Linked DNA regions of Macaca fascicularis. Each later gene encodes a partner of the first gene's protein in a complex. Links are inferred from orthologs where the notes say so. Each region holds a gene or a part of one and is shown on either strand. Other genes may lie near its edges.

Region 1 (4,153 bases):
ATCACGTCTCCCTGCTTCACTTCCTTCATAGTACTTACTACCTGAAATAATTCTGTTCATTATTTGCTGACATGATAGAAAAGTGCCTGGCAAATGATTGACTCTCAGTGAAGATGTGCTGAACGCAAGACTTCATGAATGACGAGGAAATCTTACTAACATCTTTTGTAATAAGGACCCAGGTACCTATGTTCAAAAGTACCTCAATCCTTCTAGTTAACAAGGGCAGAGACCACGAGAAATAACACTGTGTTTAGTAGCAACTTAACAACCAGCCAGCAGTTCTATCCACAGACACACACCACCGGGCATGGTTCCAGAACTAAAAAGGCACTAATTGCTTTTCTATAAGGAGGTAGAACACAGTCCCTCCGTGTTCTTTAGGCCTGATGGTCTGCATTATCGGATCTGTTACCGTGTTAATTGTTCCTGTCTCATACAGCCAGTTTGGGCTTTCTTCTGCACATGTCTTGGATGGTGACAGGTTCCTATATAGAGGAGTACTGGGGAAGCCTGTGTGTGTGTGTATGTGTCCGTGCGTGTGTACACATGTGTGTATAAAAGCAGCCACACTCTGAGAATGGTTAACAGGCAACCAGGCTGTCTGTGCTCAGGGCCCTAAGACTGGCCCAGGAAAGGGCCGGGGGGGTCGGGGGTGAAGGTGGAGCGGGCTTCGCTTGCGCTCACTGCCTTTTCCACAACAGGAGTGCAAATGCTTGCCCAGCTGGAGTGAGTGTGGTGAACTCAAGTCGCCTTTAGGAATGGCTGAAAAAGCCCACACCTGGAAATCACTCCCTCCCTGCTCCTCCACGGCAGGTTGCATTTGGGAGACGCTTCAGTCATTAGAGAAATGAGCCGGGAGTGAGCAATTCACCAGCTCTCCAGCACTTGGTGGAAAGCAGCAGGCAAGGATGGATGTGGTTGACAGCCTTCTTGTGAATGGAAGCAACATCACTCCTCCCTGCGAACTCGGGCTCGAAAATGAGACGCTTTTCTGCTTGGATCAGCCTCGTCCCTCCAAAGGTAAGTGTCGGAAGCTGTTATTTTAATCCAGGAAACTACTGAGTTGCGGGAGAAATCAGCAAAGGCAAGGCTGATAAAAAAATATACATAACCAAGTCATTGTGAGACAAGGCTGGATAAAGTCATATGTTCAGAAGTTTGCAGAAGAGATTAACAAGCAGAATAGAGTCAAATATTCTTATTGTCCCCCATGGGAGAGTTGGGCATTCATGAATAGGACTTGAGGGAACAAAAGCAGGGGAGGAAAAGCTGAGTGAAGCAAGAGGGAGTACAAGTGTCAAAGCCTGAACTTACAAGCACAGCAGAAAAGGTGTTGTCACCATGCAGCCGTTTTCTTTTCTTGGGGGGAAACCAGCGTGAAGTGGTTACAGTGAAATCATGCTTAGCAGCCAGGAAAGAAAGTGATCACTGTTCACTTGAGGAGCTTTGTTCTTAAGAAAAAGTGGTTCCCTGAGTGATCCTTTAACAAACCAACCTTCTACAAACAAAATAATTCAGTCTCTGCTTTCCTCAGTTTGTTTCTGCAAAATGTTGTCAGGACAGGAATGGTGGGTCCAGTGATGTACACCCCGGTGAGGGGGGAAATCGGCAGGAAATCACCCTTGGCTTCGGTTTTAGCATTCTGCTCTCATCACCTCCATCCCTCCGTCTTGCTCCTGTTGCTGTCTGCAGAGTGGCAGCCAGCGGTGCAGATTCTCTTGTACTCCTTGATATTCCTGCTCAGCGTGCTGGGAAACACGCTGGTCATCACCGTGCTGATTCGGAACAAGCGGATGCGGACGGTCACCAACATCTTCCTCCTCTCCCTGGCTGTCAGCGATCTCATGCTCTGCCTCTTCTGCATGCCGTTCAACCTCATCCCCAGTCTGCTCAAGGATTTCATCTTCGGGAGCGCCGTCTGCAAGACCACCACCTACTTCATGGGTAAGTTGCTGCTGGTGACTCTTTCTGGAGCTTGCCCCAGACCCCACTCAGCCCCAGACCTTCCCAAACCTCTGACAATCACAGCAGAAGACCTCTGCTGAGGGCTGAATCACAGAACATTAGGCTGTGCACGGCTGTGTGCAAGGACATTGCTGCTGACTTGACGGTCATCCTTATATGTTCCCCGTAAGTCGGTCCCCATCATCCACGTTGGAGGTCAGTTTCTAAGAGTGAAATATATTGATAGGAAAACACAGGGGCAGTTAATTTTGCCTGATTCTATTTGAAGGAAAGAGGGACTTGCTTCCTTCTGTTTGAAGTCAAAAGTGACTTTAAGCTGCTCTATCCCTTTCTGGAAGCTGTTGACTGTGTCCTGAGCTATACCCAACTTGAGTCCTGGCTTCTAGGGAGAGTAAGGATTATGGAGGAGGGTTCTTTGTCATTGTTCCTCTTGTTTTCTTAGGGAACAGGGGCTATTTGAAAACCAGTTCTATCACAGTTCCAGATTCTCTTGCCAGGATTCACTTCTCAGCCTGTTCTCCCCAAAGCTGGGACCATCTCTGGCAAAGGGAGAGAGGTCTCTGCCCCTAGATGAGGAGTTGAATTTGCTCCTGGGGGCTGTGGGGTCGCTAAGCTGACCCTGATTGGCTGAGATATGTAGCTGTTTGCCTATGCCAAACAAAAATGATGATAATGAAAATCACAAGAGCTAAATTTTTTGTGCTTTTATGCACCCCATGTGGTACTAAGTGCTTTGACTTTCATGATCTTACCTTACCTCCCAACCACTCTATGAAGTAAATGCAATGATTCTTCCTTGTCTCATTAAGGAGGAAACAGAGGCACAGAGAGGTTCATAATGTGCCTAAAGCCACACAGATGGTAAGCAACAGAGCTGAGATTTGAGTCCAGATTAGTAGCCACACAGTGGTGAGCATGCTACCTCAGTTTGCCAACTGCTGTGGTTCTCCTGGAGTTGAACAAAGACACATTTCTTGGTCCCCTCTGGGTGCCAGATTGCCTAGTCCCTTGCCCTTTCTGAGAATTAGTTGGGAGAGGGGCAGAGGTGGGAAATAAGCAGGGAGTTATTTTTGTTCTGACCCAAGCCTTGAAGAATATGCAGCAGTGAGCTGGGCTAGGGTAGTCTTCAATGACCGGAAGGCTTTAAAAGTCTTTGTTTTTCCCAGTTGAGGAAGTGGGATTCCGCACTGACAAAATGATGATGAATTTCTGACCCTCGTGCCACCAAAAACCAAGAATGTGTCAATCCGTGTCCAAGTCCTCTGAAAAAAAAAAAAAAAAAAGGACGAAACTTACAAAGGACAAAGATCATTGTTAAATAATGAAGCAATAATAATAACTAGTGCTGTAGACATCCAAGGCCCATCCATATATATCTTATGGTAATACTATTTGGGAACCTTAACCGGAGAATGTGAACCGAGGTTTAAAACGAGTGTTTTCATGGTGGCAAAACATTCTGAGTGCCACAAAGTTGTTCAGTTTGAAATGTTTAATTTTATGTTATGTAAATTTCAACAGCATAAAAACAATTTTATTGGCCAAAAGAAAAGAAACATCATTCTGAAAGTATTTGCAATACCATAATAATTTTGTTGGATTTTTAATTCCAATAATTTAGGTTCTTCTCTTAATTTTGCAGTCTCCTCAATACTAATAATTAACATTGATTAGCTCCTAATTTGTAGCAACAAGAAAAAGAATGCTTGCCTGCCAGTGAGTTTATAGTTACTGAGGATCCATTACACAGAACTGACTCTTAGAGAGTTTTGGGCTATACTCTCGACTCTAAATGTCATCAACTCTTTAGGGTAAAATCCAGTAAAACACAGCAAATCCTATCCCCAGAACATGAGTTTTTAGTTAATGGTTTGGGGGTCATAGACTTCTTTAAGACTCTAAGGAAAGCTAGAGCCAGGCTCCCTAGAAAAATGACGTTTTTGGATATAGTTTCAGAGAATTAGTTTATATCCATAAGAATAATGAGAAACTAAGGACCCCAGTTTCAGGACCTCTGCTCCCAAATTTATATTAATTCGGAGGTTTAAGAAATCTTGGTAAGAGATATTCAGAAGAATTGACAGAATTTATAGCGGAAGGACTCTACAGGGAATTTTAAGGGAATAATAGGACATTTTAATAAGTATGCATATACAAAAATAATAGAAATTTAGCTTTTTGGACA
Region 2 (3,935 bases), on another chromosome or scaffold:
AAATTATTTTCAGGCAGAAAATCAGCAGGAACTCAAAAGCTTTCAGACTTTCTCTCTCCATGTGATAAGTATTTCTATCTTCTTCAATTTAATTAGTAGGAAAGCAAAACAGAAGGTAGTGGGTGGGGCAATTTCCCAAAGACAGGAAGAAATACAACAAATCACTGATTTGTTCTTTCCTTCTGAAGCCTCTGGGTCAAAGAGTTCCAGTCTTCCCTTCATGTGAGCCCACAGGAGAACTCTGCAGAGCCAAAGCTCTTCATCTTATCCCTTTCTGGTCAAGCCAGGGGTTAAGGTTCAAATCCAGGCCCTGGAACACCTGTTGGGTAAGAGTGCAATGGTGCAATCTCGGCTCACTGCAACCTCCACCTCCCAGGTTCAAGCTACTCTCCCGCCTCAGCCTCCCATGTAGCTGGGATTGCAAACATGTGCCATCATAACCAGCTAATTTTGTATTTTTAGTAGAGATGGGGTTTCATCATGTTGATCAGGCTGGTCTCGAACTCCTGACCTCATGTGATCCACCTGCCTCGGCCTCCCAAAGTGCTGGGATTACAAGCGTGAGCCACTGCTCCTGGCCTGCTGAATTATTTTAATGTCCAGCTGTGTTTGTACTGTTCAGCACACTCCTCCACAGCCAGTGTTCATTATTAGTGCCACTGGGGATAAAGTTGGCAGAAAAAAGCTGCCGCAATCCAAAGCATGATTCCTATGGGTCACAAGAGATGAATGGGCCTCCCTCTGAATCACACAAAGAATTGGAAGGAGCTTAGGGGAAAGCTAGCCTCAGGTCAGGACTGCCTGCATGCCACTCAGCTAGTGAGGGGCTGAATCACCTTATTCCTGGAGAAAGACTTTGATGCTGAGAAAAATGACTTGCTCAGCTCTTGCTATAACTGTGACCATCTCTGCGACAGTAAAGTAAAAACAAATACCTCTCTTGTTGGGTAATCATGTGTAAGTCATTGCAAGGAGAACACAAAACTGCTGCTGATTCTTTCCTTCTGTTACATGGTTTGGTGGAGATGGACACATTGTCACTGCTTTCTTAAACTGTTGTAGCCAGATCTCAGGCATTCTCAGCATTGACGCCTTCCTGCTAGAGGATTTCCAAGGGTTGGTATCTGGGTGGCTCCCAGGTTCTTTGCGTTTTTAGTAGAGGGTATTTAGTGTATCTAGGAACCCTTTCCTAGGGTTCAATAATTATCTTTTAATGGCTTGGTAAAATGGTGTTGAACTTAATCAGCAACATTGCTAAAAATTAGTTCAAAGAAAGCTTTTCAAGAAGGGTCCCCTTACTTATAAATTAAGTCCTCCATACCCCTTCTCAGATTGCTACAAAGGACGGCCAGAAACCATGTTGCTTGTTTCCTACCGAGAGAGGTCATCTTCATTAGGCCGGCGCTAGAGAAGAGGGTCAGCATCCAGAGCCTGGGAACAAGGGCAGAAGTGAGGGATGGGGAGGCAGCATTCTTACCTTTCCTGGCCTGCTGGATGTATCTTGCCAGCAGCGCGCCCAGGTGCGCTCGGGACTCCCCGTCCGTTCTCTGCACTGCCCTCAGCTGCCTACGGGGCGCCTCCTCTGCCCGCTGCAGCCCGGAGCCCGCGGGCTCTGCGGGAGGCACCGGCTGCGTCAGGGCGCCAGCCGCCAGTACCGCCATCAGTACGCACAGGCGCACGCCGCTGTTCATGGCTGTAGGGAGCAAAGGAGGAAGGGGCGTTAACGGAAAGGCTGGGCATCCGAGAGCTCCTGCGGCGGGCAGGGCACCCAGAAACCGGCTTAGGACAAACACAGGTGCTCCAGACTCCCCAGGCCGCCACAAGCACGAGGGCTCAAGTCGAGTGCCATGGCGCGCGCCCCCGGGCGCACACGGCTGGTCTTTGGGAACTCCACACCCAGTGCCGAGGGGCAGACAGAGACCCTGTTTTTTGCCGTGTTGAGCAGAAGGAATGTTTTCTGCTTCCCTAAAGTTTGAGGAAGTGTTTGCAGAGTGCCTCTCTTCTAACTGAAAGAAGAAAAATAAAACCCCACGAGATTAAAAATAGTGTGAAAAAAATATCCTAAAGGGAAGACTCCGTGGGAGAAATGAGAACCCTAGGGAAAGCACCTTTCCAGATAGCTAACAAGCTTTCAATATGGAAATACAGTAAATGACGAAAAAGAGAAGCACAGTTTAAAATGTAGGAGCAATAAATAAAGCCGTATTTATAAAGTTTTCTCAAAGTGTAGGTGGGAAATGGCAATAAGCCACTACGCAAAACATAGGCAGGTTTTAAAATCAGAAATAGGTGCCCAGCACTCAGGCTTCCAAAGCCCCGTGCATTTTAGATCGCTAGTGGATAAAACACCCTCACATTTCTATCCGTAAAGCCTCGAAATTTTCTGCAGTATTTAGAAAATGAATTTGAATCTTAAAACCCTCTGGTATTTTATTAGAAAATATTGCAACGTCCCCAGCACCGCTGTGTAACAGCTAGCAAATCTCAATCTGCATGCGAATCTTAGCGAATGGGTATGCCGGCGCGTGAAAGCCTCTAAAGCAGCTCTACCTACCCAGACCTCACTTTTAGACCCGGAACCGTTGTTTCTGACTTCAAGAAATGTCTTTCGAGCTCTCGGAGGAAAGACACAGAAAATAGAAAAGCAAAATGGAAATGGGCACAAAGCTGACGACAGCATTCTTCAAAGACACACGACACTTGGATCCCCCGCTGACGAACCGAGGGACCTACCTTTTGGATTAGAACGCAGCTGGCTTGGCGTTTCCAACCGGAGCAGCCCGGCAGCTGAGCCAAGTTCAGGGAGGACCAGAGGGCGGCTGCCTCTTAAATAGCCCCGCCCGGCGGCGTCGCCCAGTCATGTATTTACCCAGCGCTGACGCAGACTGGCAGCAACACGTGCTCAGAGGGTGGCCACTGGGACGACAACCGGTTGAAGTGGCTCCTGGGGGAGAGGGGGAGGTGGTCCAGTGGGGCGGATTTAACCCCTCCCTGGCTGGGCCCGGTGTCTGTCCCCCTCTGGGTCCGAGAAGCTTCCTTCCAACCCTTTCCAGCTGCCGCTCCCCTGCGCATTCCAGAGCAGTGCTCTCCAAGGTGGGAAACCTAGGAGTTTGGAGTCTTCCCTGGGATGGAGAAGCTGCCGCTAGCTTAGTTCGCTTTGGGGACCGGAGGGTCCAGAAAGGAAACTGGGGCGGGGGTGGGGGGTGGACACTGGGCGGGACTGAGCGTCAGTAAGGCGCGATTCTGAGAGGGATGGGGCGTGGGCCCCCCTACCCCGGAGCGTCCGAGGCACTGGTCTTCATACTTGTGTGGGCTCTTTCGAAGGAGAGGAGTCGGGGTCTTTACTTTCTTCTCAGCCGCATTAAAAGCCCTCGCAGTTCTCCAGGTTTCTGAGAGCTAGTGTTCCGGGTCAGTGAAAGGGCTCCGGCCACAGCTGGCTGTTGGTGTTCTGGGACTTTCTTTACGCAGCTGTAAAATGGGGATGACACCATCTGGCTTTGCTCAGAGGAATCCGGCTTGGGAAAGCGATGTGTTTCCTTCCCTGGCCAACTTACCGCCACCCGCGGCGCCCACTGTTCCCAGCTGCCGACAAGCGGCGCCAGCGAGGGTCCTGGGGAACTTGCCCACCGCACCCCTGCAAGCTTGGGTAGACCACGGCATTCGCCCCTCCCACCTTTCCGGAGGGCCCACACACTCACACCCCTAGGACCGTACCTGCCAGAACTCAGCTGCGCAGCCAGGAGATGAGGACCTCGCCCGTCGTCACTCACCCGTCCGGTGGAGGGAAGGGAGGCACCAAGGCTGCAGTGCGCCTTTCCCTGCGCGCGGTTACTCTCCTGGCTCCGGAGCGGGCCGACCCGTAGTCCCTCAGTGCGCGGTGGTCGTCTACACCCTGAAGCCCTTTGAGTTCGAATCGGCTTGCTGGCGCTTGAGTT

What was found.
Region 2: the proteins of CCKAR (region 1) and CCK are in contact, whole or in part, in a cryo-EM structure (PDB 7MBX), measured with the Homo sapiens proteins. The link is inferred for Macaca fascicularis from reciprocal best matches to the Homo sapiens genes CCKAR and CCK. Residues at the interface, in NP_000721.1 of Homo sapiens: Cys94, Phe97, Asn98, Pro101, Asn102, Lys105, Asp106, Phe107, Thr118, Met121, Gly122, Val125, Tyr176, Phe185, Asn194, Met195, Cys196, Arg197, Phe198, His210, Leu213, Leu217, Ile329, Phe330, Ala332, Asn333, Arg336, Ala343, Glu344, Leu347; in NP_000720.1 of Homo sapiens: Asp96, Tyr97, Met98, Gly99, Trp100, Met101, Asp102, Phe103.

The regions. Positions count from the first base shown.
Region 1 is NC_088379.1:25,621,653-25,625,805, reverse strand, and holds the start of CCKAR (cholecystokinin receptor type A), read left to right. Parts: upstream 1-1,353; 5' UTR 1,354-1,568; coding exon 1,569-1,947; intron 1,948-4,153. UniProt on the Homo sapiens protein: Receptor for cholecystokinin. Mediates pancreatic growth and enzyme secretion, smooth muscle contraction of the gall bladder and stomach. Has a 1000-fold higher affinity for CCK rather than for gastrin.
Region 2 is NC_088376.1:105,094,825-105,098,759, forward strand, and holds the start of CCK (cholecystokinin), read right to left. Parts: upstream 2,801-3,935; 5' UTR 2,734-2,800; intron 2,616-2,733; exon of another isoform or gene 2,555-2,615; intron 1,694-2,554; 5' UTR 1,692-1,693; coding exon 1,478-1,691; intron 1-1,477. UniProt on the Homo sapiens protein: This peptide hormone induces gall bladder contraction and the release of pancreatic enzymes in the gut. Its function in the brain is not clear.